Coturnix japonica: one gene and its partner. The protein of the gene in region 1 binds, or shares a complex with, the protein of each later gene. Links are inferred from orthologs where the notes say so. Each region holds a gene or a part of one and is shown in the gene's direction. Other genes may lie near its edges.

Evidence for each region.
Region 2: the proteins of ANKS6 (region 1) and ANKS3 are in contact, whole or in part, in a crystal structure (PDB 4NL9), measured with the Homo sapiens proteins. The link is inferred for Coturnix japonica from reciprocal best matches to the Homo sapiens genes ANKS6 and ANKS3. Residues at the interface, in NP_775822.3 of Homo sapiens: Glu796, Gln797, Glu798, Val799, Asp800, Glu802, Ala803, Thr806, Leu807, Asp811, Glu814, Leu815; in NP_597707.1 of Homo sapiens: Lys441, Tyr442, Thr470, Leu471, Phe472, Gly473, Pro474, Arg476, Lys477, Arg484.

What each region holds. Positions count from the first base shown.
Region 1 is NC_029517.1:43,441,159-43,445,560, forward strand, and holds the start of ANKS6 (ankyrin repeat and SAM domain-containing protein 6), read left to right. Parts: upstream 1-1,525; 5' UTR 1,526-1,606; coding exon 1,607-1,953; intron 1,954-4,402.
Region 2 is NC_029529.1:11,295,852-11,299,661, reverse strand, and holds part of ANKS3 (ankyrin repeat and SAM domain-containing protein 3), read left to right. Parts: intron 1-64; coding exon 65-255; intron 256-687; coding exon 688-769; intron 770-1,351; coding exon 1,352-1,487; intron 1,488-1,762; coding exon 1,763-1,921; intron 1,922-2,225; coding exon 2,226-2,351; intron 2,352-2,860; coding exon 2,861-2,976; intron 2,977-3,307; coding exon 3,308-3,475; intron 3,476-3,810. UniProt on the Homo sapiens protein: May be involved in vasopressin signaling in the kidney.

The sequences.
Region 1 (4,402 bases):
CCATGACAGCCTCATGATCCAGAGTTCCCAGTGGATCAGAGGAAGAAGACTATGTAACATGGAAGGTATGGGTGCATCTGATCGAAACCAGCGTGTCCTTTTAGCGACATCTAGTGTTTCACTACACTCCCTGCAATGTCTCCTAGTCCTCTTTTCACCAAACCCTCCACCACAGGAATTAGTGCCATGTTCTGCCACTGAAGTTGCAGATTTTAGAATAGAATAACCTGCTGGAAGCTGTAGGGAATGCATCAAGAACAGCATTGCTAGCAGTTCAAGGGATGTGATTGTCCCACTCTACACTGTACTGGAGTGGTCTCACCTCGAGTATTGTGCAGTTTTGCATGCCACAGTATGAAAAAGAACTATTGGAGGGTGTTCAAATGAGAGATATACGAAGATGGTGAAGAGTCTAGAGGGAAAAGATGAATGACTATCATCTGAGGTGCCTGGGTTTGCTCATCCCAGAGCAGAGGAGCTGAAGGGAAGCCTGATGGCAGCTGCAGCTCCTCACAGGGAGCGGAAGGGCAGCGCTGAGCTCTGCTCTGTGTGACAGTGACAGGGCCCGAGGGAGCAGCATGGAGCTGTGCCAGGGGAAGGGCAGCTGGGGTTGAGGGACAGGGGCTGCATCAGGGGGCGGGAGGTGGCACAGCCCCAAGGGCTGGAGTTCATGGAGTGTTTGGACACTGCTTTCAGACAGACATAGGGTTTGAAAGACAAAGAGTTGCACTCAGTGATCCCTATGGTATCCTTCCATCTCAGGATACTCTATGAATCTCTAGAAAAAACTGGAGGGGCATAATACCATACTCTTAAGCGATATGTCAACTGTAGTTTATTTCACCAGAGCTTTGTATATATGTATGTATATATAATTTATTTTTATTTTCCTCTCACTTTAGCTGTTGTAATTCAGTATAACCTGGAAAAGGTATCAAGTTAACTTGGAGGCTTGGAGAGAGTAAAGAGACTTGAAAATGCCAAAAGAGATCAGCTTTACACTCGGAAGTCTTTAAATTGAGGACCAGCTGATAGGCACTATCCGGGTGCAAAGAGGAGTGTGTTGGGTGATAACCAGATCCCTTATTGAGGGAAGGAGAGAGACTGGAAGAGAGGGAAAAGCTAAGCAGGAAGGTGCAGGTATAAAGTAGCTATAGTTGGGCTAGCAGAGAACAGCTGGGCTGTGGAAGCTATGCTACAGAGCAGGAGAAAGGAACTGCTTTTTCAGGCAAAAGACAGTTCTGTAACAAGGGCTTGCTGTGGTGGAAGGAAAACTGGTACCGTGGAGTTAGTTCTTTGTGTGGAAGTAACCGCAGCACGAACATGGCGTGGAAAACAGCTGCTAAGACACAGACCCCCGGAGAAGGGGCAGGAGCCGCGGAGCCCCAAGCACCGCCTGGATTAGAAGGCAAGGCCGGTCCTTACGGCTCTGAGGACCGCAGCTGAGGCGGCTTTCCTTCCTCCCGTAGCGAGCGCGGTCGGGCCGCCCTCGGCCTGCCTCCTCCCGCCGCCGGAGTCCCCTCCTCCCCACCGCTGCCTTCCCAGCCGCCGCCGGGGGCGGGCGGGCACGGGCGGCCGAGCTGCTCGGGCCCTGCCGGCGCTGCCCATGGGGGAATGCGGGGTGCCCGCCCAGGTCCAGCTCTTCCTCCGTGCTTGCGAGCAGGGCGACTGCGAGACCGCCCGGCGTCTGCTGGGGCTTCCCGGGGGCACCGCCGGGTCGGCGGCCGCCTCCGCCTGCGGCACCGACGAGGCGGCGGAGTCCCGCGGAGAAGCGGCCGCCGCCGCCCCTTCCCCCGCCGTCGCCGTGGACTGCACCGACGAGGCGGGCAACACGGGGCTGCAATTCGCCGCGGCGGGTGGCCACGAGCAGCTGGTGCGGTTCCTGCTGCGGAAGGGAGCCTCGGTGCAGAGCACGAACCACTACGGCTGGAGCCCGCTGATGCAAGCGGCCAGGTAGGGGCGCCCGCTTCCCCGCCGCGCCGCAGGCCCGGGGCGGGCGGACACCGGCCTAAGCGGCGGCTGCCTGCACCCCAGGGCGGAGCAAGCGAGGGAGAACCCCGTAGGGGCTGGGCCGTGGGGAGCTGTGATTTTTCTGAGGGGCCAGTCACCTGTCGACTCCCCGGATGACGGTCCCGAGCCGGGAGTGTGAGCTGGGATGAGTGTTCTGGTCAAGTGTTGAGTTTCCTTTTTCTTCCTCTTAACTACGGCCGCGTAGGTATGGAAGGGGCATGAAGGGGTGCGATGGTTGATTCTAGGCAGGTTGTGTTGTTGCTTGAGCAAACCTAATGCAGAGCTAAGGCGCCCTGAAGCCTTGACCTGAACGTGAAAGCACTGCCTGCCCCTCGTCTGTTCAACCGTGCTTCGTTTTCTATTGTTTTCACATCTACCTGTTGAAAAACTCTGACATAACATAGATTGAAGTAAGTAGAAATAATTGATTTCTCTCAAGCTTTTCCTTCCTTTACTAAATGGAGAAGGATATGCTTATTGCTGGAGGATACACAAAATGATTCCTGATCATACCTGTATGAACTCTAACGGATGTTAGGGTGAAGTTCTTCACTAGGAGAGTGGTTAGGTCCTGGTACAGGCTGCCCAGGGAGGTTGTGGATGCCCCGTCCTTGGAGGTGTTCAAGACCAGGTTGGACGGGGCCCTGGGCAACCTGATCTAGTAAAGGTGTATGTTTGGTGGCCCTGCCAGGCAGGGGGGTTGAAACAACATGATCCTTGAGGTCCCTTCCAACCCGGGTCATTCTGTGATTCGTGCAGATGTTAATGACAGCTCAGGATCTCTGTGCATCATACCACTCTATCATTCACTGCAGAGCTGCAGTAGGCTCTGGTATTGCTGCTGCTTGTGTTTGTGTTTATCTTCACATACAAGAATACCCTGTGGAATTACGTATTTTGCAAGATTTGAGGGCAGTATGAATTGAACGTTTGAGAGGTTATTTTTGTATTTTTTTTTTTTTCTTTCATAACATTAAAATACTTGGAAGAAAAGGATCTGTTTGAAAGTCAACATTCTCCTTTCAGTTAAAGCCCACAGAAAGTTCCCAAAGAATGAGTCACACAGCTGGTTTTCCAGTAAGAACAAGGAAGACAAGGTTCAGCAGTTCTGTTATTTCATGAAGGTTAAAAAAAAAAGTACCAAAAACATTCATAGATTTTTCTTTTCTTTAATGAAAACCTTACACTCCTTCTCTAGAGACAATAAACAAAATCACTATAGCCTGCTCATTGTTTGACTTGTTACTGTTTGAGAAGTACTATAGATACAGAGATCTGCAGAGAAAGCTTAAAATAGCAGAACGTTTTTTGTTTGTTTGTTTTTAAATGGATAACTGAAAAAGAAATGCAGTAACCATACAGACATACTTTTCAAACTATGCACATGTTGAATTTTCTGGCTGCATTTAGTCCTGCTGAAATTGGTGACGTAGTGTCACCAATTAATATATAAAAGTAACCACATCGCCAGTGACTGCAGGAGCTGCTGTAGTGATGTAGTGAAAGCAGGAAGGTTGCATCCCAAGCACTAGACAGCCCTTGTAGTCTTCCTTTTGCAACTGTGTGTTCTTTGCGAGGATACCAGGGAGTCTGGATCTCACATCTACTCTTAGTGGTTGTTGCATTCCTCGGGATTTCCTCAAATAACAGATTGTCTTTCTTTAGCATGTGAAAGGAGCTTTCAGGATCAAAACTCGATTGTTTTTAACCCTGCACACACATTTAGTAATGCATGGTAGCTGCAATGAGCTGCACAGAAGTGTATATCCTGTGAATGTTTTATATTTATTAAAATGAGAAATTATTTCTTCAGCAGAGGAGGGATCTAGGATTCCCATTTCCTCATTGCAAGCTAGCTGATTGATGGGGTGGCCTGTATGGTTGCCTTTTGCTCACTGACAAATTACTACAGCTTCTGACAGCCAGGATGCATTGAAGCTGTTCTTTCGGTGAAACCAGTGTTAGAATCCAAGTTCCAACACAAGGAGAGTTTTTCTGTTCCCCCAGTGCTAAGTTCATCTTCTCTTATTATATCAGTGGCTACCTACTATATTGTTTTCTAAGCTTCATAAGCACATCACACTTGCCTGTGTTCACTGAGTCTTCTTTCACTGTGGGAGTTGGTTCATTTTTCCCAACTGCAAAACAGGGGATGATGCTATTACAAAATATAAGCAAACCATTTCATATAATGGCCTGGCTTTTTCCTTTTCCTTTTCCACTTTCTTTTCCTTTTCCACTTCCTTTTCCTTTTCCACTTCCTTTTCCTTTTCCACTTCCTTTTCCTTTTCCTTATCTTTTTTCTTAGCATGAACTATTTGCAATTTTTACCGTACTTCTTTAATAGTAAAGAGGGTATTTATTTAATACCTTTATGAGCAAACTGACTTTG
Region 2 (3,810 bases), on another chromosome or scaffold:
GTAGGATTCTTAATCAGCTGCAACCAGTGTGTTATTTGTTCAGTTGAGTCCGGTTTCCTGACAGGGATTTAAACTCTCTTGGTATCACAGCACAGAGGGGATGCAGTTAAGAACATTCTCTGTTCTCTTGAAGCAAGGCGCAGAGCTGGAGATGAAAGATATTCATGGTTGGACTGCCTTATTTCACTGTACCAGTGCTGGTCATCAGCAGATGGTCAAGTTCTTACTCGACAACGGGGCGAATGCCAACTGCAAGTAAGGAAGAATCTATTGCTTAATTTCTGTCGAGAGATTAGATTTATTGCTGGCTTAATTATGGAATAAACTGAAAGAAAACAGACACAACACATTCTGAACTCCGTTTCTGAAGCATGCAGTGAATTACTGTGACTTGAGATCTGCTTGTATGTTTGTGCACATTAAATTGCCTAAGAACAGCAAGAGGTTCTTGCTCCACTAGGTGCTGGGGTTTTGTCACTGAGGGATAGGGATGCAGCTGCAGGAGTATCTTGTTTCTGTATTTATTGAGAGAGGCCAGAATGCAGTAGAATAGCCAATGTATCACACAGTTTGTGACCAGATAAAGGTGAAGGCTGAGGGTATGTCAGGCCAATTATGGTATGTCAACAAATACAACATGTTTTATCTTTGATTATTTTAGCTCTTGTGTGTGTTTTCCCTCCCTAGGGAGCCTGTTTATGGTTATACTCCTCTGATGGAAGCAGCTGCTTCTGGCCATGAGATAATTGTTCAGTACCTTCTCAATCATGTGAGTGTTCAAACAGGTCTCTATAAATGAAAATCTGCGGTTCTGACCCTCAGAGAAAGAAGCACAAGACTAATATCCATCTTCTCAGTGTTACATTTGATCTTTGAAAGTCATCTCTGATCTGTAGCCCCAGATTTCTGAAAGTATCTGTTTGTGAAGGCTAGTACTCTAATTGTATAATGCTTGCCTTTAACAAGCAGGAATAAGGTCTGTCTGATGTGACTGAATCCTTTCTGAATCAGGAAGCAGCTAATTCAGTAATCTCTGCTGTGTGCATGGGCTTATATGCTTGAATTACTGGATATCTTGTCTTGGCCCTGAAGCTTATTGGCATTCGTGTTTCTTCGTGCCAAACAATTTAATATCTCATTTAATGGTTCAGCTTACTTCCAGAAGGAGGCAGCAATGCAAAGCATTCAGATAAAAGCCAGCTAGCTCCCACTGGTGATGCACAAGAGCTGTATAAGTAGGCTACTTGGCATTTGGGGGTTGTTGAGAAACCGAGACAAATTGTCTGTCCTGAATATCTTATTTCATAGTACACACCTGCTATGAGCTTTTCAAATGCTTGTTTTCCTATAGGGGGTGAAAGCAGATGCCAGAGATAACGCTGGAGCCACAGCGCGGACACTGGCTATGAAGTATGGACATACAAAGATTGTGGGGTTGATAGACTTGCATGCAGCCCCAGTACCCAAGGTCTTCTGCAGGGGTTCAGGTAACAGGTTTTAGTTTGCTTGTTTTAAAATAGAAGCTGAAGATAGGTGCATGACATAGATAGGGGTAAAACTAGCTGCTCCGTTCTGGAATTTCCAGTGTTTGTGAGGATGTAAAAGGCAGAGATCCAATGCTTTTTTGTTGTGGTTTACTGGCCCCTTTCTGACCTAGTTAAACTCTCTCCTCTCTTATAACATTTCCTGTTGCTTTTGTAGGCTCAGTTGTAAGTAGGTACATGAATTACCATGCTGCTAACAATCTCTCTTTGGACTACAGGAAAGTACGAAGAGCTGAGCTCCTCAGATGAATCGTGTTCTGCCCCCCAGAGACAGAGACCTGTTCGCAGGACCAAGGGTCCCAGCATCCATGATGGACCCCAGGCTTTGGCTAAGATAACAGCAGTTGGAATTGGGGGAAAGAAGCAGTCTTGCTATGGTAGGAATAGTTAGAAGCCTGCCTGAGAGTCATTTATGGTTTCTCAAGTGCTTTACAGCTATTTCTGTGCCAACAGTATCTTTTCATTAGAGTTTTTCATGCATGGCTTTTATAGAAACAAAAAATTATCTACTTCATACAAGGTTATACAACAACAAAATGAAACCCACTGAATGCATTTGTCTGAGCTGGGTATTGATGAATGGGATACTATATGCAATACCCAACCTACTGCTCTTTCTGCTGGGACCTCCCTGGTAACTTGCGTCCTAATTCCTCTGTTCTTTCCTCCTCTTGCACACAGAGCAAGTCTTGCCTCAAGGTTATGTAACCTTCAATGATGATGGCAGCTACGAAGCTGATGATATCCGGAACCGGGATGTTACCTCTCCAATTAACGAGCAAGATGTGGAGAGCAGCAGCAGCCGGGGTAAGTCACTATCTTAAATAAATAATGTGACTTGCAGTGCACAACTGGATGGTGAGACCCATCCCTTGGATTCCATTGTCACTTCCCAGTCTCCTTAGACTGATAGGCAGCAATGGTTACTGGATCTTCACCTCTGACCTGAGTCTGTAGTATCACACCACTATATTAGTGGCCAGAAAGCTGTTGCATTTGACAAGCTGAAAGAGTTTTCCTCTGAATTTAAGAAAGTGCTTTCTTACTGGGTGAGTGTCTGAGGCTGGAGCAGAGTGTCCAGAGGAGCTGTGGAGTCTCTGTCCTTGAATATGCTCCTCTATGTGGTTCTAATTGTCTTCAGTGTGATTTTGGACAGAGCAGCCTCAGGAGGTCCCTTCTGAACTCAACCATTCTCTGTTCTTGTAAAACAATACAATGAAGTATTGAAAGTATTCAATGTATTAAGTTGTATTGAATGTATTCAAGTGCAGCCTCAAGGTCTTTTTGTTGTTTTTTTTCCCCCCATTCCTTTCCAGAGGATAACATTTTCTTCACCAATAAGTTAGCAGCTGTCAGGAGTAGCAGCAGCAGTAGTGAATGTCTGACCAAAGCCCTGGGGGTCAGCAGTGAAGGCTCCTTGGAAAGCAATGAGGTGAGGTTGTACCCTTTCCTTTGTCTACCTTTGGCTTGGCCTGTGCTGTCAACCTTCCACAGCCTGCTACCTCCACAGGAGGCTGTAGTGCTACTTCGTAGGCCGGGATTGTAGGAGCCCGTCACCATTACAGATGGTCATACTATAACAAGCTGCCATCTTGATGGTGGTTTGACTCAACCTTTTCTGATAGCGTCTTAGCTTTTGTTGCTTGGTTTTGGACTACTGCCTGGACTTAGAGCTGTGGACTTGAAGCCTACACTTGTTAGACAGTGATCCTGGCATCTCTGCATGACCATCCTTCACCTTCTGTTTCCTGTTTTTTCTTCAGGATTCTGACCATGCAGGCAGTCCTCCTAGTAGGAAACAAGCCAAAAGCTTTAAGGTCAAGAACCGCTACAGCAACAGTGATGGTCAGTGGACCCACTGCCCAGGAAAGGCTGGAGCCTCTAGTCAGCACCTCATCTTTCCTGAGCCCCCTGCCTATACAGGACCCCAGGTAACTAAGGACAGAAGGCTATCTCTGAAGTAATGCAGATCATGTCACGAGCTTGGGGGGGTTCTTTAAGGTTGTCCAAGCTGTTTTTTTGGCCTTCTCAGATAAAAGGAAAGCTGACACCAAAATGTTTTGATGCCAAACCACTGCCCAAATAGAAATGCTTGTGAAAGTGATTTCTGGTGTGAAAAACTGCCAGTTTAGGGGTTATTTTTGCTTGGAGAAGTATTCCAGATCCCTTTGAGGCTATTATGGGGTCTAGGGCAAGTGCTGATTGATCTGTCTTCTCTGCACTTGTCACAAGAGGTGATGACTGCAATGTGTAGGCCAGTCCTCTT